2 linked regions of the Mus musculus genome follow. The protein of the gene in region 1 binds, or shares a complex with, the protein of each later gene. Links are inferred from orthologs where the notes say so. Each region holds a gene or a part of one and is shown in the gene's direction. Other genes may lie near its edges. The genes, in order: Ercc2 and Polr2g.

The links.
Region 2: Ercc2 (region 1) and Polr2g share a complex: the UniProt entries of both Homo sapiens proteins name them as parts of the TBP-based Pol II pre-initiation complex. The link is inferred for Mus musculus from reciprocal best matches to the Homo sapiens genes ERCC2 and POLR2G.

Annotation. Positions count from the first base shown.
Region 1 is NC_000073.6:19,388,502-19,398,462, forward strand, and holds the end of Ercc2 (general transcription and DNA repair factor IIH helicase subunit XPD), read left to right. Parts: intron 1-1,605; coding exon 1,606-1,675; intron 1,676-1,747; coding exon 1,748-1,817; intron 1,818-1,897; coding exon 1,898-1,999; intron 2,000-3,025; coding exon 3,026-3,089; intron 3,090-3,463; coding exon 3,464-3,585; intron 3,586-4,747; coding exon 4,748-4,840; intron 4,841-4,931; coding exon 4,932-5,004; intron 5,005-5,128; coding exon 5,129-5,199; intron 5,200-5,274; coding exon 5,275-5,418; intron 5,419-5,537; coding exon 5,538-5,681; intron 5,682-5,850; coding exon 5,851-5,943; 3' UTR 5,944-6,139; coding exon of another isoform or gene 6,140-6,220; 3' UTR 6,221-6,383; coding exon of another isoform or gene 6,384-6,954; 3' UTR 6,955-7,193; downstream 7,194-9,961. Other genes in the region: Klc3 (kinesin light chain 3), read right to left, coding at 6,140-6,220, 6,384-6,778, 6,864-6,954, 7,299-7,472, 7,781-7,882, 8,006-8,093, 8,371-8,590, 8,900-8,969 and 1 more. UniProt on the Homo sapiens protein: ATP-dependent 5'-3' DNA helicase. Component of the general transcription and DNA repair factor IIH (TFIIH) core complex, not absolutely essential for minimal transcription in vitro.
Region 2 is NC_000085.6:8,791,968-8,801,848, reverse strand, and holds Polr2g (DNA-directed RNA polymerase II subunit RPB7), read left to right. Parts: upstream 1-3,291; 5' UTR 3,292-3,378; coding exon 3,379-3,390; intron 3,391-3,515; coding exon 3,516-3,625; intron 3,626-4,453; coding exon 4,454-4,613; intron 4,614-7,318; coding exon 7,319-7,369; intron 7,370-7,481; coding exon 7,482-7,547; intron 7,548-7,641; coding exon 7,642-7,713; intron 7,714-8,189; coding exon 8,190-8,223; intron 8,224-8,444; coding exon 8,445-8,458; 3' UTR 8,459-8,720; downstream 8,721-9,881. UniProt on the Homo sapiens protein: Core component of RNA polymerase II (Pol II), a DNA-dependent RNA polymerase which synthesizes mRNA precursors and many functional non-coding RNAs using the four ribonucleoside triphosphates as substrates.

The DNA of each region.
Region 1 (9,961 bases):
TGGCAGGTTCTGGGCAAGGGATGCACTTGGTGAGATTGTTGCTTTCGAGGTTCATGTAGCAGGAAGATGCAGAACTGTGGACAATGGGGACAGGAGAGTGTGCTGGGGAGAACTATGGGAGGAAGAGGCCAGGATGGAAAAGCATGGCGCTGGGCATGAAGCTCTCAAGGGAGGCAGATACAGACTGATGATCCACAGAGGCCTGCCTCCCAGGACCTTCTGGGTCCGTCACTTGGGTCCATCTGTCATGTTTCCTCTGTCCATGTGTTGTGTGCTGCCCCACCCCCCCACCCCCCCAGCTCCACACTGAGTTTTCAGGCTTATCCCTGGGGATTACTGCCGTAGCCAGGAAACCAGGTCAGCTGGCATCCTGCAGCTGGGCCAGCCTGGGCCTCGGAAGGAGGAGGCCCCCCCCATCAGCCCCACTGCAGGCTGTTGGCAGCTGCCTGCTTCCTTAAGCTTTCAGCACTCACCATGCCCCTTTCTTTGGCCTTTGTCTCTTCCTCCTCCCCCACCTACAACATCACAATCGGTAGAAGCCTCCTTGTCTACGCCTCCTATCACCTGCCTGAGTCCTTCAGCTTTCAGAAAGGCACCCAGCCCACCCTATGCGAGGCCTGCCCCTTCTCTATTCCAGCTGCGCCTGGGATCATTACTCTCTGGATAGCTGTCTCCCCTAGTACAAGGGAGCTCTTATGGGTGGGACTGAGGCTGTGTTGGTCACTGCTGTGTCCTTGGCAAGGGCTGGACACGTAAGACCCGATCATTTTTGCCAAGTGAAACAGAACCCATGAATGTATTCATTTGTTCAGTTAGCAAATGGGGCCAGGCCCAGCACTACTGAAACAGCCTCATCCTCCCCTTCCCGGAGTCACAGCCTGGGGGAGAATGAGGAGCAAAGATGGTTCCAGGTGACCCTGGGAAGTGGAGCGGTGCTGCAAGGAGCCATGGCACTGTCCTCTGGGGCAGGGATTCAGCCAAGTGGAAGCTGGCACAGCAGCTCAGGGCAAGGGGGCCCTCAGGTGTCTCACAGTGGGACTCTGGAATATGAACTATCCTTGTTTTTCTTGTCCTTGGTTGTGAAGTGTTATCCCAGTCATGGTACCCTGTGCTGGCAACAGAAAAAAACCAACAACAACAACAAAAAAAGCCAGTCAGGAAGGCACCCAAGGCCAGGTCCACCTGGTTACCAGCCTCTTACTGCCAAAGCCATTGCTGCTTCCCTCAGGAGCGGCCCTCTTCCCTGCCTCTACTTAGCCTGTGTTGGTGGCAGAGAGGCACGGTGAGGAATGGGAGGGAGGAAAGCAGGCAAATCTTGCTCTTCAGCCTGGGAGAGTGCATGACACCCTTCTGGGGTCATGGGAAGTGTGGAAACTGGCAAACTTGGGGTTCCATGACATGTCTCTGGTTGCTCTGCGGGGACAGGAGTGAGAGCCTGGAGGACAGAGGTGCCTGGGGAATGGCGGGCTTGGCTACCTGCGGGACCATGTATGAAGCCACAGCTCACTGCTTCTGCACCTGAGGGTTTGCAGAAGTGGGCAGGCTGGGGCAGTTCTGTCCCGGGGTGATGAGTGACTGAGACTCCCCGGCCTCTCCCTCCACCAGGCTTCACCATTATCATTGAGCCCTTTGACGACAGGACCCCCACCATCGCCAACCCCGTTCTGCACTTCAGGTGAGATGCAACCCTGTGTGGATGGGACAGGCCCCGCCCTCTGCCCCGTGTGACCCCCGTGTTGTCCCGCAGCTGTATGGACGCCTCCTTGGCCATCAAGCCTGTGTTTGAGCGCTTCCAGTCTGTCATCATCACTTCTGGGGTGAGGACTCTGCTGCTCCTTCATCGGGCTCCTGGTCTCCGGCCAGCCTGCTGAGGTCTCCCTTGCTGTCTCCGTTACAGACACTGTCCCCACTGGACATCTACCCCAAGATCCTGGACTTCCACCCTGTCACAATGGCAACCTTCACCATGACGCTGGCCCGAGTCTGCCTCTGCCCGATGGTGAGTGGGTGAGACCGGGGAGCCGCCTGCCTCCTGGCTTCGACCTAGGCAGCCGGTTACTCAGCTGAGGCTCAGGCCTGGTGGGTGCACCAAGTTACCAAGTGTACGCCGCCACTGGGCTATGGCACATAGACACATGCACACAGTGTACGCTGGTGCGACGCAGGCCTGGGCAGGTGGTGGCTGGCATCATCGTGCTGATGGCTTTGTCATTTGTCACCCAGCTGTGTCTTGAGTAATGAGCCTCCCTCTGAAACCTGGGGCAGAGCTGTCCTCTCAGCCTCATGGTCTCTGCTTTGCAGTTCAGAACCCTGCAGCTAGGCATGTTCAACCCATGGGCCATGGGCCACAAGCAGCCAAGGGTGGCTGGGATACTGCCCGGCACACAATCAGAAACCCTTTAACCTTACTGTCGGGGGAGGGGGCTGTAACCGGACAGCATGCTCACAGAGCATGGACTTTGAAGAGGGCAGTGGCTTTGCAGCAGGGGTTAGACAGATGGGTTCAGAGCTGTGGGGTTTTTGGATCAGTCTCTCTGACCACTCACTGGCATGGTGGACTGGGGAGGGTAGCTAATGGGATGTGTGCTGTGGGTGACCTATGTCTGGAACTGCCCAGGGCTGGTATAGTCCTGCCTAGAAGCACAGAGGGCCCTTCCCTGGGGCTTGTTACTCTGTGACTGTGGGCAGGTGGCTCATGGTTGAGCTCCAAGCACTTGCCCAAGCAGTGCCAGCCATAGGCTTGGGCCATCTAATCTGTTGTCTGCATAAGGCTTACCTGAACTCGGGCCTTGTTTGCTCCAGCACTTGCCTAGCATGCCGGGCACTTGGGCGCAGGCCTGTGATCTCAACTGCAGAGGTGGGCAGGAGAACCAGGGTCACCTTGGCTACACAGAATTTCAGGAGGCTGGAGAAGAGCCTTCTCATGGGTTTAGGGGGAAAGAGAGCCTTGGGAAGGCTCCTAGTCTGAAGGCCAGCCTGGGCTACATGAGACATCATCTCAAGGCCTTTAACCTGATTCTTCCAGATCATTGGCCGTGGTAATGACCAGGTAGCAATCAGCTCCAAATTTGAGACCAGAGAAGATATTGGTGAGTCACCTGTAGGCTTGGTTGGGGTGGGTCTCAGGTGGCCTAGGACCTGCTGCCATAGCATTATCCCAGCCTCTATGCTAGCACAGGGGGGGTTCCCATCCTCAGTGCCTTAGGTTTCTTCACTTGGAGGTCTGCACTAACAGGTGCACTATTGAGCCTAAGCACTGGCCCCTGGAACTTTGGGCACTGGCTCCTGAGTGTCACATGGAAGAAACAACCACTTCTACATGTCTCTTTTGCTGTCACAAGTTATATATCCTCAGGGAATGGGAGACAGCCCTCTACTGTGCTTGGGAGAATGCGTTTGGGATATGGTTAGGTGGTCTCAATGGGAGCCAGGAGAGGATCCACTCTTTAACCTACTCTTCTAGCTGTGATCCGAAACTATGGCAACCTCCTGCTGGAGATGTCCGCCGTGGTCCCAGATGGCATTGTGGCCTTCTTTACCAGCTACCAGTACATGGAAAGCACCGTGGCCTCCTGGTATGAGCAGGTACGCCTGGCACCACACCCTCAGCTCTGCTCTTCCTAGATATATATGACTTCACTCCCTCTTTCTACTGGTGACATGTGTCACAGGGCAGGGCAGTTAAGCACCCTTAACCCGTCCCCACCACAGGAGACTACCCTACTTTTGGGGTTTGTGTGCTGCGTTGCTCTTGGGGTTACTGCAGACTACATCCCCAGCAAGCAGGCTTGGTGATAGGCTGTACAAATTCTGGAGAGTTAGGCTGGACCAGAACTTCGGCTCCAGGAGCTCTCATACCTGTGTGGTTGGATGGAGCTTTGGGGCTTTGGTTCCGCATGGGGGTGCCATGTCTTATGACTGCTGAGCCCAGCTTTGAGGCCTATGTTTGAACAGGCATTGTAGACTGTGGGTGTGTCTCAGGCAGGGTGCCTAGTCTGAACTCACAGAGAGGGGCTGTAGGTTTAATTAAGTGGTAGAGCTAGCATATAACACATACAGGCCATTACCACAGTCGATCTCTAGTACTAAAAACAGACATCTGCCTGTCTGCCTGACTGTTGAGGCCAGAGTCTGTCTGCAGAGACACCAGAGACTCATTTGGACTAGGTGAGATAAGGCTAGAGTTCATTTTATCCAAGTAAAACTCCCAGACTTCCAAAAAAAAAAAGCCGGGCGTGGTGGCACACGCCTTTAATCCCAGCACTCGAGAGGCAGAGGCAGGCGGATTTCTGAGTTTAAGGCCAGCCTGGTCTACAGAGTGAGTTCCAGGACAGCCAGGGTTACACAGAGAAACCCTGTCTCGAAAAACCAAAAAAAAAACAAAAAACAAAAACCTCCCAGACTTAGCATCTTTGGTAGAGTTTGCTCACTGGGCTGCACAGGTAACGCTGCCTGGCGCCTCTGGTCCCCACGTCTGTCCTGGTGGGCTGCCCCTCCCTCACCACTGCAGTGACAGACCTATCTGATCTGAGGACAACCTGCTTGGTCCTGCCGTGGTTATGGTCAGACCCTCCACCAGTCACAAGCCACTCTGGGGCCCCGTGCCCACTGTGGGTGGTGGTTGGCTCCCCACTTTGGACTGCCAGTGAGGTTGGACAGCTAGGGGCCTAGAGGAGGGTTTTCATGGGAGGCCATGGCAGTGCTTGACTCTGTGTGGTCTGAACTCTGACCTCCCTGTCACCCCCAGGGCATCCTTGAGAACATCCAGAGGAACAAACTGCTCTTCATTGAGACCCAGGATGGGGCTGAGACCAGTGTGGCCCTGGAGAAGTACCAAGAGGTGGGTGCCTGGGACAGGCAGAGAAATGCCAGCAGCCAACGGGTGAGTGGGAGAGGGCTGACGAGTGACGACTTCCACCTCCCCACCCCAGGCATGCGAGAATGGCCGTGGGGCCATTCTGCTCTCAGTGGCTCGGGGCAAAGTATCAGAAGGGATTGACTTTGGTGAGTAGACCTGACTCTTAGCTCAGGTTCCTGCCCATCCTACCACACGGGATCTGTCCCCTTTCCAGGCCCTGGGGTGACCTTAGCCCCAGCATGCACTGTAATCCTGCTCTCCTGTCCCCAGTACACCACTACGGACGGGCTGTGATCATGTTTGGAGTTCCCTATGTCTATACCCAGAGCCGAATTCTCAAGGTGAGTGGGGAAACAGTGCTGTCAGGGGGTGTGGGGGAAGGGCAGGCCCTCCGCCTCAGCCTCCTCATCCCCCAGGCCCGGCTAGAGTATCTGCGGGACCAGTTCCAGATCCGAGAGAACGACTTCCTCACCTTTGATGCTATGCGCCATGCAGCCCAGTGTGTGGGTCGTGCCATCAGGGGCAAGACGGACTATGGACTCATGGTCTTTGCTGACAAGGTGGGGCTCAGGGCTCTTGGGCACCCCAGTCCAGGTAGCCCGACTTCCTCCCAGGGTACAGGGTAGTGGGCAGCCTGGGCTCCAACCTGGGCTCTAATGTCCTTCCCCTCCCTCCTCAGCGGTTTGCTCGGGCGGACAAGCGTGGTAAGCTGCCTCGCTGGATCCAGGAGCACCTGACCGACTCCAACCTCAACCTGACCGTGGATGAGGGTGTACAGGTCGCCAAGTACTTCCTGCGGCAGATGGCGCAGCCCTTCCACCGGGTAAGCCTGGGCCCCGCACGGCTTCTCTCTCCACCAGGTGTGCACATGCTTCCTAGTCGTCTCTGGCCCCGTATTCCGGCGAAAGGACAGGAGTGAACTCCAGCCACTGCACTCTCTCATCGCGTGCCCGTGTGAGCTGACTCCTGCCCTTTACCTCTGTTCCCTCCAGGAGGATCAGCTGGGCCTGTCGCTGCTCAGCCTGGAGCAGCTGCAGTCAGAGGAGACACTACAGCGAATTGAGCAGATCGCACAGCAGCTCTGAACAGCGGGGCTGTGGGGTGACCGCCTGTGGCTCCTGGGAGGTGCTGGAAGGTCCCAGGGCCCTCGGCAAACACCCAGTACCAGTGCACCGCCTTTAATTGCAGGGAGCGATCTACAAGAGCTGCCCAGGCAGGGTGCAGGGTGACCACCCACCCTTCCTGATCCTTGAGAAGCTGTGGCCTCTGCAGCCAGTCCACTTAGCGCGGGCTCAGATCTTGTGTGCTGATGCTCAGGGTCCGAGGGGCCTCACTCAGGTGCCGGGTTGAGAGCTGGGAGAGCTGAGAGCACAGGAATGGTTAGAGTTCTTTTCCAGTTGACATTGGAGCCACTTCATGCCCTGCCCACCAGCTCCTCCCTACCTTGAGTCCCCAGGAGGCGGCCCCACCTTTCCTGGCTTGCTGAGCCTGCCAGCAGCACCCCACTCCATCACTGACTCCTCACCTGCGTCCGGGCAGCCCTGGGACCATCCACGTTCAGCATATTGAGTGACATGGCTCTCTTCATCCTGAAGAGGAGCCCAAAAAGACAGGAGTGAGACAGGGAAGACTGCAGATCCCTGGCTCTGACTGATGTCACGGATGGTTCCTGACAGACTGCTGACCTCTCCCGGCACTCACCCGGCAGCCCCTGCCATGCCCTCTCCTCGGAGGCGGGAGACCAGCTTCTCGCTTCCTCGCCTGATGGATTCCCGGAGCTTAGAGAAGGAACTGCTCCTGCGCAGGACCTGGGGAGGGCACAGTGATGTGTGGGGACATGGTGGGGGCCCAACAAGGACCTGAGGTGGAGCCTGCTTACCTGCTGCTGTGTATCGCCTGCTGTGCCTCCCTGGGGGGCTCCTGTGGGACAGAAGGGACATGGAGGCAGGTGTGAGGAATGCCACCATGCAGGAGGGGGTGCAGGAAGGTGCAGGGGTGGGCTCACCAAGTGGGGCGGGCAGGGCCTCCTGGCTGAGGATCTCCTTGTATAGCTCCTCTGCCTGCTGATACTTGTTCTGTTTCAGGTAGGCTGAGGCCTGCGGGGAGGGAGGGCAGGGGTAGGGTGTGGACATCTTGTTTAGGCCTGGGAACGTCTCAGACCTGCCCGCCTTCCCCAGCATCCTGCCTCAGCTTACTGCAGTGCAGAGCCACCCGCGCAGGAGACCAGGCTACCTGCCACTGGGTCCTGCATCTCTGTGCCAGTCTCCTACCTCAGTGGGTGAAATGTTCGGGGTCACCCACCATGACACAATAAAATCTGATAGGACTTTGTGAACTGGGGTTTGCTTCTGATATTTTTGTACTGAAGGGGCTGTAAGATCCTTCAGTCTCTCTCCTCCCTACAGTGTCCCCAGGACAGGACAGACCTGGCATGCCTTACCAGGTTGTTCTTAGTCTTGGCCACATTTGGGTCCTGTGGCCCGCCCAGGGCCTCGTAGATGCTCAGGGCCCGCGCATAGTGCCGCTCCACGTCCTGAAACTTGCCCTGGTTCTGGCACAGTAGGGCCAGGTTGTTGAGCTGCTTGGCCACATCAGGGTGGTCTGCACCCAGGACCTAGGGTACACACAACCCATCTGTCACATAAGGTGGTCCATGAGATGCCACTGTCATTCTAGGGTCCCAGGCTGGGAAGACAGGAACAAAGTGGAAGTTAATGGGGTGTAGGAATTAGTGAGGTCAGAGGTCACGGGGTGCTGAGTCCAGCCAATCATAAGGGTTCAGGAGATCAAAGCAGGATTGGACTTGGACTGTAAGTTCATCAAGGCCACAAGGGTGCTGCAGGCTCAAATAAGGCAAACTCAAATAAGGTACACCAGATGGCTTGAGGTACCAGTGATGGGGAAAGGGGCCGGGTACAGCACCTTCTCACGGATCTCCAGAGCACGCTGGCAGAGGGGTTCTGCCTCCCGGTAACGTCCACGTTTTCCATAGAGGACAGCCAGGTTGTTGAGGGTGGCAGCCACCTGCAGGAAGACAGTTGGTGGTGGCGGAGGAGGAGGAGGAGGAGGAGGAGGCGGTTCCTGCAGCCCACCCTCCCCAGTCCATCTTCCCTCCCTCCCTCCCTCCCTCCCTGAACTGCTGCTCACTGCAGGGTGTTCAGGACCCAGCGTCTGTTCCCGGATCTGCAGGGCGTCGTGAAGAAGCTCCGTAGCTTCCTTGTATTTGTTCTGGTCCCTGCAGGGCAGGGATGGAAGGCTGAGCTTAGACTGAGTCAGGAATGGCCAGCATCCTAGGGGTCCCCACACTGCCAGCCCTGCCAAGCATCCTGTCTCATGTACCTTGCCTTCTCTGGTGCCCAAACTCTAGACTCGCTCTCACCGCCTCTCTAGGTCTCTGTTCCCCTCTCATTCTGTTCCCACCCCAGGCAATTTACCTTGTCAGGGGATCACAGTGCCACCCCCCCTCCCACTATCCCAGGCGGAACCCCAGCCCGATCAGCCTGGGCCCTCACCTGTACACGAGTGCCAGGATGTTGAGCATGGTGGCCACGTCAGGATGGCAGTGGCCCGAGCTCCGCTCCAGGTCCTCCAGAGCCTGGCGACATAGGGGAACTGCCACCTCATAGCGGCCCTGGCCAGCATACTGGATCACCAGGTTGTGCAGGGTCCGCAGACGAGCTGGGATCTCATAGCCACCCTGCTGCGCGGCTGCTGCTCCTGCTGCCTCAGGACCTAGGGGAGGTAGTGTGGAGTCACCCACAGTGGGCCTCAGCCTGGTCCCAACAGCCACCTCTTAGAGTACGGTCATGTGGTGACAGGACACAGGGATTTCAGAAATCTAACCAGCCGGTGGCATGTTAGGTGCCAGAACCTAACGTGACTGTCTTCCAGCTTCCAATGTCCCTACTAGCCAGGGCCACCTGCTTCTTCCCCTCCTCAGAGGCCTCGGTGTCCCTCAGGGCAAGGTTCCTGTCCCAGGCTTAACCTGTAGTCCTGGGTGGTTACCCTCTGATATCGTGCCCAGGGCTCCCACACACCCACCTTTCTTTTCCTCCTCTTCACTGGGGAACAGAGATGCCAAGCTGTCTCGGCGAGGGGGGGACTCGGGCCTCTGTGGAAAACAGGAAAGAGTTCTGAGAAAGTCAAGTGTCAGGCCGAGGCCCTGGAGCTACATCGGGCCTGCCTGTGTAGCTCTCTGTTGTTCAGGGCAGGGGCTGGCTCACCATGTAGACTAGGCTAGCATGCCTCTGCCTTCACGGTGCTGGGCTTAAAGGCACGCCACCATGCCTGGCTTCAGGGACTGGTATATTTCTGAGGTAAGAGTCTCACTACGTGGCCCAGGCTGGCCTAGAACTCACAGCATCCTTCATCCTCAGCCACAGTAGCTCTGAGTTTGACAGAGGTGTGGGGTGAGAGCCTTAGAGGTTTCAGTGGGCTGGGGGAAGAATGCTCTAAGGAGCATTCAAGGTACTTTGGGGGCTCAATTAGGTGTGGGGATTGAGGGACTCCATTTGTACTTGAAGGGCTGTACTAAGAGCTCCTGCAGGCACCCAGGAGCTCTGTAGAGGACTGTGCATTCCCTTCTAACCCTGCCCCTGCTACCTGGCTCTCCTCGGGCGGGTCATACTGCCTCAGCTGCCCCAGGAACTGGAGGTGGCTCTTCTCCTCTTCCAGCTGGGCCACAGCCTCCTCGCTGGCCCGCAGTCGCCTCTGTGTCTCCTCCAGCTCCTCTCGAAGCCATGTGTTCTCTTGGGCTAGCCTCCGTGCCTGTGCCCGTAGCCTCTGCTTCTCAGCCTCCAACACACTCACGTGTGCGGACAGGGCCAGCAGCACCTGCGAAGCATTGGGACCCTGAGTAGGAGTGGATTCATCCCAGTCCCAGTCCAGGTTTTACATCAAGCCACATTCTACACAGGTTCCCCCAAATCCTCAACACACCCTACTATGTGGCTCTGATAATTAAGAGTTTCCCAGAAATCCCTAACTTCACCTAAATTATGCATAGGGTTAATTCCTATCCCAACTATGTAGGTCAGCAGCTGCCTAAAATCCATCTGTGAAGAACAGGGGCGTGGCTCAGTGGGAGAGCCCCTGCCTAGAATC
Region 2 (9,881 bases), on another chromosome or scaffold:
AAAACAAAACAAAAAACTCTTCTGTAAGGTCCCAATGATAAACCAAGGTACTATGCCACTAGTACCTTGGGCCCCTGAGAACTTATTGGCCTTTCTTACAGAGCCTAGGTGAGGGGTTACTTACAGGAGTGTGGGTGAGCCACTTCAGAAGTCCCTGGCTAAAGGGTTTACCCAGCATAATGTTCCTGTAGCCATATAGATGGAGCTCCCTCCCTAAGTCATTCTCCACCTATAGAATTCTGGGTATATATATATATATATATATATATATATATATATATATATATATATATATATATATATATATATATATATATGTATATCAATCAGGTAATATATGTAATATATATATTACACACACACCCAGCCCTGGAGATCCTGGGGTCATGTGCAATTAGGGAACTGGTTGAGGGAAGTGACTGGATACTCAAGTGAGGGTCTCATGACCCTCCACAGCCCCTCATCCTATAAGGGAAAGTCAACAGTCAGCAAGCACAGCTGAGGTGGTCTTCTGCCTGCAGACCCAGCTAAAGTTCTGAGGAGGATGGTAGTTTGCCTCCAAAGATAGTCCTGTTTGGTCCCATAATACACATGTGGTTGTGCATGTCCACAATATGTTCAGGAGGTAGAAGACAGAGCATCGGAACTTCAAGGCCAGCCGGAACAACAAACTTTCAGCACAGCCTGGACAGCATAAAACCCAAGTGTAGGTGATGTGCTCTTTTAATCCCAACACTTGGGAAATAGAGGCAGGCAGATCTCTGAGAGTTTAAAGTCAACCTGGTCAATATAGTGAGTTCTAGGCCACCAGAGCTGCACCATGAGTCCCTGGAAATAGTTCCACGAATGGAGTTTTGTTTATTTTTTCAATTGAGCTACTTCTTGTTTGCTTGAGAGGATTTCCACATGTAGCACAGGTTGTCTTGGAACTTAGAGTGCTCCTGCCAATGTCTCACCAGCAGGAGCTATAGGCAGGTCAATGGTGACCAGTATTGAAGAAACATTTCCCCCACCCTGTACCTTCTCCTTTTTTTTTTTCCTTTAAAATGACAAGCCCTCACTTAACACAGGCTGTCCTCATATTTGCTCTTGTATCCAAGGATGACCTAACACTCCTGAGCTTCTCTCTATTATCTGAGTCCTGATAATATCTTAGTATCTTAGTATCTTGTCTATATTGTCCAGAAATCAGCAGTTCAGTTTATTGGTTAGCAGCAGCAGCTGGATCCACTCGCAAACACTTCATGGATACACCAGCAGTCCAGTTTGGGAGAGTCAGGATAGCAAACATGAATCAGTAGCAGTGGAACGACCTAGCAGAGACAGCCAGGCCTCAGCCTTGGCACAAGTCAGCAGGTGGGACCAGGAGGAACACTACGAAAAGTTCTAGGCTGTGCCTCTCTCAGGGATGAGATAAGCAGACTTGAGACCTACAAGCATTGCATAGCTAGCTCTAGAAGCAAGCCTAGCTCAGCCTCTATCACCATCCACTGAGTCCTACTTATACTCTCTCCAAACATCACATGTTCTCCATGAGTCTTGACGCAGCACATGCGTCTGTCTTACCTGACATCACTCTGCCAATCAGCCCAAGTCCGAAGAAGCAGCAAGAAACTGCAGCACACCACCAAAAGTTTTTTGGTGCATTTCTCCCTATGGAGTCCTGACAAATTCAACTCAACTGTGCAATGGAAGGCAGGCCAATACATGCCAGTTTTTAGCAAAGAATCCTTTATCACGTGTCCTTTCATGTGCTTGCTTTAGCAGTACATCTCTCTCCTGTGTCTGCTTCAACTAAATGTTCCTTCATGAGTCTGCCTTACTCTTTCACCTGTGTCCACTTCAGGAAAACACTCCTTCACGTGTTAGCTCCAGCAAAATACCTTCCAACACAACTGACAAACCTTAAGCTTCCACTTTACCCAGGACTTCAAAAGAAAAGGCAAGAGAATTGTTAAAAGTTCAAGGCAAGCTTCCTCTACAAAACAAATTCCAGGCCGTCCATGGCTACATAATAAAACCCTGTCCCTCAAATAGAAAAGAAAGTAAGCCTAGTGCATGCCTGCAGACATAATCTTTTTGTTTGTTTGCTGTCTTTTTGGGGTTTTTTTGTTTTGTTTTGTTTTTTAAGACAGCCTTGTTTATGTGCCCCTGGCTGTCCTGGAACTCACTCTGTAGACCAGGCTGGCCTCAAACTCAGAAATTCACTTGTCTCTGCCTTCCAAGTGCTGGGATTAAAGGCGTGCGCCATCATGCCCAGCTAAGTGATTTCTTTTTAATTATGTGTACTTAATAATGTATGCTACCTATGTGTGAGTATGAGCCTATGAGTACTGGTACCTTCTGAGGCTACGAGAAGATTTCAGGTCCCCTTAGAGCTGGAGTTGTGAAATGCTAGTGTTAGTAACTGAACTCAGGTCCTCTTTGAGAGCTTTATTTTTATTTACATGTAAAAAAAAAAAAAACCGTTATTCTTATTTTATATGTGTGAGTGTTCTGGCTACAGCTATGTCTGTTCACCACAAGGGTGCTGTGTTCATGGAGGCCAGAGGGCACTGGATCCCCTGGGATTGAAGTATAGATAGAGAGTTGAGTCAGCATGCTTGTGCTGGGAATCAAACCTGGATCCTTTGGAAGAACAATCATATCCCCAGCTGCCTAGCCTTTCTTTTTATTTTACAAGCATGGGTGTTCTGCCTGTATGTGTGTTTGGGTACCACTCACATGCAGTGCTGAAGGAAGCCAGAAGAGGATGTCAGCTCTCCCTGAGCTGGAGTTACAAAGAAGAGTGTGAGCTACCCTGTGGGTGCTGGGAATTAAATCCTGGACCTCTGCAAGAGGAGCAAGTGCTCTTAAGGACTGAGCTATTTCTTCAGCCCCCAAATTAAATAATAATAATTTTTTGGTTTTTTTTAAATATGTGTAAATGTTTTACAGGGTTGTATACACAGCCCAGGTTACCCTGGAACTCACTTTGTAGCTGTGGCTTAGCCTTAAGTTTAGAGATCTGTTTGCCACGGCTGGGTTTAAGGGCATGTGGTAAAAGTCAGACCTAAAATAACTCACATTTTTTGGTTGGTTTTGGTTTTGGTTTTGGTTTTGGTTTTGGTTTTGGTTTTAGTTTTGGCTTTGGTTCTTCGAGGCCGGGTTTTTCTCTGTAATCCCGGCTGTCCTAGAATTTGCTTTAAGTAGGAGGGGAGTATGAACGGTGGTGGGCAGGCCTGAGGGGCGGGGCTTCATGTATCCCCGCCCATGACGTTAAGACTCAATCAGCGCTGCGGAAGCGACCGCAGAGAAGTGGTGGGACTTCTGCAAGTGCTTCCGGAGAGGTCTCTGCGTGGGAAGTTCTGGGCGCTGCGGGCCAAGCTTCTGCAGAAGATGTTTTATCACGTGAGCTGGATGCGGGGTAACTGTGAGGGGCAGTCACAGGAGGATCCTGGAGGCCCGGAAGGGCCGACAGGTCGCCTCCTGTCCTCAATGTGGCTGGCTGAGTCTCCATCTTCCTTTCTCTGCAGATTTCCCTGGAGCACGAGATCCTCCTGCACCCACGATACTTCGGTCCAAACTTGCTCAACACGGTGAAGCAGAAGCTGTTTACCGAGGTGGAGGGGACCTGCACTGGGAAGTGAGTTTCTGCTTCACAGAGAGGTCTGCTGAATGCACGCACAATGGCGCTAGTCTCTAACCTCTTCTTAACTCCTTCTGTCAGGGCTTGTCGCTTACTCTGAGGAACCCTTTCACCCCTCCAGGCACCTGAAGCAGCCAGTTTTTGCCTGTTTTAGACACTCTGAAAAGCTACTAAAGAAAATTTTCTTCCCTTATGTGAGATAAGACCGTTATTATGCAAATGTTTTTGAGTTTTGAGATGGCCTCACTATGTGGACCAAGCTGGGCTCTAATTCAGAGATCTGCCTGCCACTGAGTGCTGACATTAAAGGCTTTCATCACAATTCTCTGACTCGTTTGTGGTTTTTGAAAGACCTGTCTCAGCTTTGACCCTGGCAAGTCCTCCTGCCTTAGCCTACATGGTACTGAGAGAATAGGTGTATGTCAGCATATCTAGGCCTTCTTGGGCATTTACTGTACCATCATGAGAGCATCATTTAATATTTCATGTGCTAAGCTGGTCGGGGGTGGCGCATGCCTTTAATTCCAGCACTTGGGAGGCAGAGGCAGGTGGATTTCTGAGTTCAAGGCCAGCCTGGTCTAAAGAGTGAGTTCCAGGACAGCCAGCGCTACACAGAGAAACTCTGTCTCGAAAAAACATATATATGTGTGTGTGTGTGTGTGTGTGTGTGTATATATATATATATATATTTAGGTGCTAATCTGTGTCCTGTCTCTTCTTGATCAATGAACCATCTGAACAGAGGTTCTTTCACACAGAGACTCTTATTGCTGGTGGCTTTTCAGAGGCTCTTCACATAGCTGTCTTCTTTCATTTTTCATGCAGATATGGCTTTGTAATTGCTGTCACCACCATCGACAATATTGGTGCTGGTGTGATCCAGCCAGGCCGAGGTTTTGTTCTTTATCCAGTGAAATACAAAGCTATTGTTTTCCGGCCCTTTAAAGGTGAAGTGGTGGATGCTGTGGTCACTCAGGTCAACAAGGTAAGAGTATTATTCATAGAAAGGTTATGGGGTATTTCCTAAGGTGAGGGTTCAGTCCCTAGTCCACTTACTAGTTGCCTTAAGTCTTTTGTTGTTGTTAAGATTCATTTTATCTTAGTTTTTTGGTTTTTCTTTTCTGGTTTTAGGGTTTTCTTTTTTCTTTTCTTTTCTTTTCTTTTCTTTTTTTTTTTTTTTTTTTTTTTTTTTTGAGACAGGGTTTCTCTGTGTAGCCCTGGCTCTCCTGGAACTCACTCTGTAGACCAGGCTGGCCTCGAACTCAGAAATCCACCTGCCTCTGCCTCTCAAGTTAAAGGCATGTGCCACCACTACCCAGCAGGTTTTTTGTTTGTTTGTTTGGTTGGTTGGTTGGTTGGTTTGATTTTTTGTTTGTTTGTTTGTTTTTGTTTTTAGAGACAGGGTTTCTCTGTGTAGTCCTGGCTGTCAGTTTTGTACTTTTGTTTTTGAGGCAGGGATTCACTGTGTAGCCCTGGCTGTCCTGGAACTTACCCCATAGACCAAACTAGCCTTAAACTCAGACATCCACTTACCTCTGCCTCCTGAGTGCTGGGATTAAAGACACGAGCCACCACCACCCAGCAATTTATTTTAATTTTAACTATGTGTACTTGTATGTTATCTGGGGTGAGTGCAAGCCCATGAGTGCTGGTACCTTCTGAAGCTTCAAGAGGGTTTCAGGTCCCCTCCTACCTGGAGTTGTGAGACCCTGGATATGGATGCTAGGAATTGAACTCAGGTCCTCTGCAAGCACGGTTATGCACTCTTAATTATTTAGCCATCTCTTCAGTCCCTTAGGTCACTTTTTGGTTCTTCACTTTCCTTAACTGTCTTTCCATCTAACTTAGCTGGGGGTGTCTTCTGAATTACAGAAGTAGTCGTGCTACAATAGAAATCTGCATTGACTGAGTCGTTACTGTTGACTGATAGTATGCAAACTACCCCCTGACTCTTTTTTTTTTAAGGGTTTTTTTTTTTTTAAAAGATTTATTTATTTACTATATGTAAGTACACTGTAGCTGTCTTCAGACACTCCAGAAGAGTGAGTCAGATCTCGTTATGGATGGTTGTGAGCCACCACATGGTTGCTGGGATTTGAACTCAGGACTTTTAGAAGAGCAGTCGGGTGCTCTTACCCACTGAGCCATCTCACCAGCTGCCCCCTGACTCTTTCTTTCTCCACTCTCCTCTCCAGACCTGAAGATCAAACCCAGGGTCGTACAATTCAGCTAAATTTCCAAGCCCAGGCCTTTCTTCGTTTATTTGTTTGCTTTTGTTTTTTTGAAACAGGGTCTCACTATGTAGCCAAGGCTGGCCTTGAACTCACTTTGTAGCTCTGGCTAACTTTTTTTTTTTTTTTTTTTTTTTTTTTTTTTTTTATTATATGTAAGTACACTGTAGCTGTCTTCAGACATTCCAGAAGAGGGAGTCAGATCTCATTATGGATGGTTGTGAGCCACCATGTGGTTGCTGGGATTTGAACTCCTGACCTTCGGAAGAGCAGTCGGGTGCTCTTACCCACTGAGCCATCTCACCAGCCCTCTGGCTAACTTTAAACACACAGATTTGCCTGCCTCTGCCTCCTAAGTGATAGGATTAAACGCTTTGCCACCTTGACTGGCTGTATGGATGTTTTGTCTTGTCTGCATGCATGTTTCTTTTGTTTTGTTTTGTTTTTTTGAGACAGGGTTTCTCTGTGTAGCCCTGGCTGTCCTGGAACTCACTCTGTAGACCAGGCTGGCCTTGAACCCCTGCATGCATGTTTGTGTACCACATGTGTGCTTGGTGCCCAGAAGACGGGTGTTGGATCTCCTAGAACAGGAATTAACAGAAGGTTGTAAACTGCCTTGCAGGTTCTGGGAACCAAACCTGATTCCTTTGGAAGAGCAACTAGTTTTCTCAACTAGAATGGCATGTTCTTGCTCTCCCCCCAGCTCTTTTTAAAATAAAAATCTTTTAAAAATAAAAATCACCACAATCTCTGAAGTGAGAACGCCTGGTATAGTGTGTCAGGCCTGTGATTCTTGCACTTGGGAAGCTGAAGTAGGACTGATGTAAGTTTTAAGCTGTCATGGGCTATAGAGTGAAATTCTGCCTCAAACAAAAAAATAAGGATCTGGGCTCTTATTTGGTGGGTAAAATGTTTCCTGTGCAAGCATCAAAACCTGAGTTCTGTTCCCCAACACCTTTGTAAAATCCAGGCTTAGTAGTATGAACCTGTAATCCTTTCTACTTAGAAGGATGAGTCGGATCCCAAGTTCAAGGCCTGCAAGGTTAGGTGGTGTAATTTAGTGAATTTAAAAGCTACGGGTTATAGCTCAGTGGTTTAGAACACCTGTTGGTACTGTAGGACCTGGGTTTGACTCCCAGCACCCACATAGCGGCTCACAATCCCAGCACCTACACAGGGGCTCACAATCTCTGTATCTCCTAGTTCTGCAGGATCCCAACACCCTCTTCTGGCTTCCATGGGCACTGCATGTACATGGCACACAGGTACATGTGAGGACAGAATACTCTCACATGTAAAAATAATGAAGAACAAAAATGTAAAGAAATGAAAGACTACAGAGAGAGAAATGAAAACAAATGCTACAATTTAGACTGTTACAAAACACGAATAATATGATTAGGAATCAGATAAAAATGCTCCAAAGCCTTTGAAGCAAGATCATCCATTTTCCTTTTAGGTTGGACTTTTCACAGAAATTGGGCCTATGTCTTGCTTCATCTCTCGACATGTAAGTCTGGGCATCCTGGGTGGAGCCAAGGAAAAGAAACCAGTCGGTCCATAGCTATCATCTATTGATGCAGCTGTTTGAAGTGCTAACCTTTGTGTCAATTTCCTTCTAGTCCATCCCTTCAGAGATGGAGTTTGATCCAAATTCAAACCCCCCTTGCTATAAGACCATGGACGAGGTGAGCGAGTGTGGAGGAGTGGTGAGAGGGATGAGGAAAGCAACACTGAGACTGGGCCTGAGTCTGCTTGACCACTGTTCTCTCCTTTCCATAGGACATTGTGATTCAGCAGGACGATGAGATACGCTTGAAGATTGTAGGCACGCGTGTAGACAAGAATGACATTGTGAGTCTCTTGCTTGACTTCTTTTCTTGCCTGTAGCCCAGGCTGGCCTGCAACTCATGAACCTCCTGCCTCTGCCTCCTAAATAGTAGGATTATAAGTAGGCCAGGATCACCATTTGCAGCTGAGAGCTATGGCGTTCTCTTTTCTTTTTTAGAACATCACTATTTTCGTATTTTATAAAATTGTATTATTTATGTGGATGTGTGCTGCGCATACCCACTGGCCACAGTGTGATATTTAGACAGCTTTCAAGTTCTTTGTGCTGCTATGGATTTGGAAGTAGAAGTCAGGTCATCGGGGTTGTGTAGCAAGCTCTTTCACCACCTGCACTGTGTTACTGACCGAAGATCTGCTAACCTTTTGCCACCCACAGTTGTTGAGGGTTCTGGGCTCTTTTTTCCTGAGGAGGGAATGGATGACAGAAGGCTTGGGATTGGGGTGGGCTGCCTCATCTCCCTCCCTCTCCTTCCTCCTAGTTTGCCATTGGCTCTCTGATGGACGACTACTTGGGTGAGTGCCTGACATGGCTGCTGGGACCTGGGACCGTTCCCTGAGGAAGGGTGTGCAGGAGAGGGGATGGTGGAGGGCTTAATGTTCCTCCCAGAGACATAAGAGGTTCTCATTCTGTTTCCTAGAAGTCCATGATACCTGTCCTTGGGGTGGGAAATCCTTGGCTTTTGGCTGCCGGGGAACTCGGTGTCTGACTGATGCGTTCTTTCCTGATCTCATAGGGCTCGTGAGCTGAGTGAGGGAGCGTCCAGCTTGGTTGGATCCTGATTTAGGAAGTGTGGCTTTCCGACTTGAGTTCAGCACCAACTTAACTTTCCTACCGGAGGTTCAATCTGGCCACTGTTAGGGAGGCAAGAAAGGCTCCTTGTCCTCAGCTGTTTCTTCCAGCTGAGCTGTGCCCTGAGACTTTATTCTGTGCTCTAACCATAAACATGTTGTCCTTGTTTCTCATGGAAATGTTGTCTTCTCTTGGTAGAAATTAAAGCTGTTATTTATTCTATTTTTGGTTTGGTTTTATGTTTTTTTTTTTTAAGATTTATTTATTGGGCTGGAGTGATGGCTCAGAGGTTAAGATCATTGACTGCTCTTCCAGAGGTCCTGAGTTCAATTCCCAGCACCCACATGGTGGCTCACAATCATCTATAATGAGGTTTGGTGCCCTCTTCTGGCATGCAGGCAAATATTCAGGCAGAACACTGCACATAATTAATAAATAATCTTTAAAAACAGATGTATTGCCGGGCGTGGTGGCGCACGCCTTTAATCCCAGCACTTGGGAGGCAGAGGCAGGTGGATTTCTGAGTTCGAGGCCAGCCTGGTCTACAGAGTGAGTTCCAGGACAGCCAGGACTACACAGAGAAACCCTGTCTTGAAAAAAACCAAAAAACAAAAAAAAGCAAAAAAAACAGATGTATTTATTTTATGTATGGGTATACTATAGCTGTCTTTAGACACATCAGACTAGGGCAGGAGATCTCATTATAGATAGTTGTGAGCCACTGTCTCAGTCAGGATTTCTGTTCCTGCACAAAACACGACCAAGAAGCAAGTTGGGGGGGAACAGATTTAATCAGCTTACACTTCCACATTGCTGTTCATCACCAAAGGAAGTCAGGACTGGAACTCAAGTATGTCAGGAGAGCAGGAGCTAATGCAGAGGCCATGGGGGGTGGGGGTGGGGCTGTTACTGACTTCCCCTGACTTGCTCAGCTTGCTTATAGAAGCCAAGACCACCAGCCCAGGGATAGCACCACCCACAATGGGCCCACCCACCCTTGATCATTGTCTTAGTCAGGGTTTCAATTCTTGCACAAACATCATGACCAAGAAGCAAGTTGGGGAGGAAAGGGTTTATTCGGCTTACACTCCCATGCTGCTGTTCATCACCAAAGGAAGTCAGGACTGGAACTCAAGCAGGTCTGGGAGCAGGAGCTGATGCAGAGGTCATGGAGGGATGTTCTTTACTGGCTTGCCTTCCCTGGCTTGCTCAGCCTGCTCTCTTATAGAACCCAAGACTACCAGCCCAGAGATGGTCCCACCCACAAGGGGCCTTTCCCCCTTGATCACTAATTGAGAAAATGCCTTAGAGTTGGATCTCATGGAGGCATTTCCTCGCCCAAAGCTCCTTTCTCTGTGATAACTCCAGCTGTGTCAAGTTG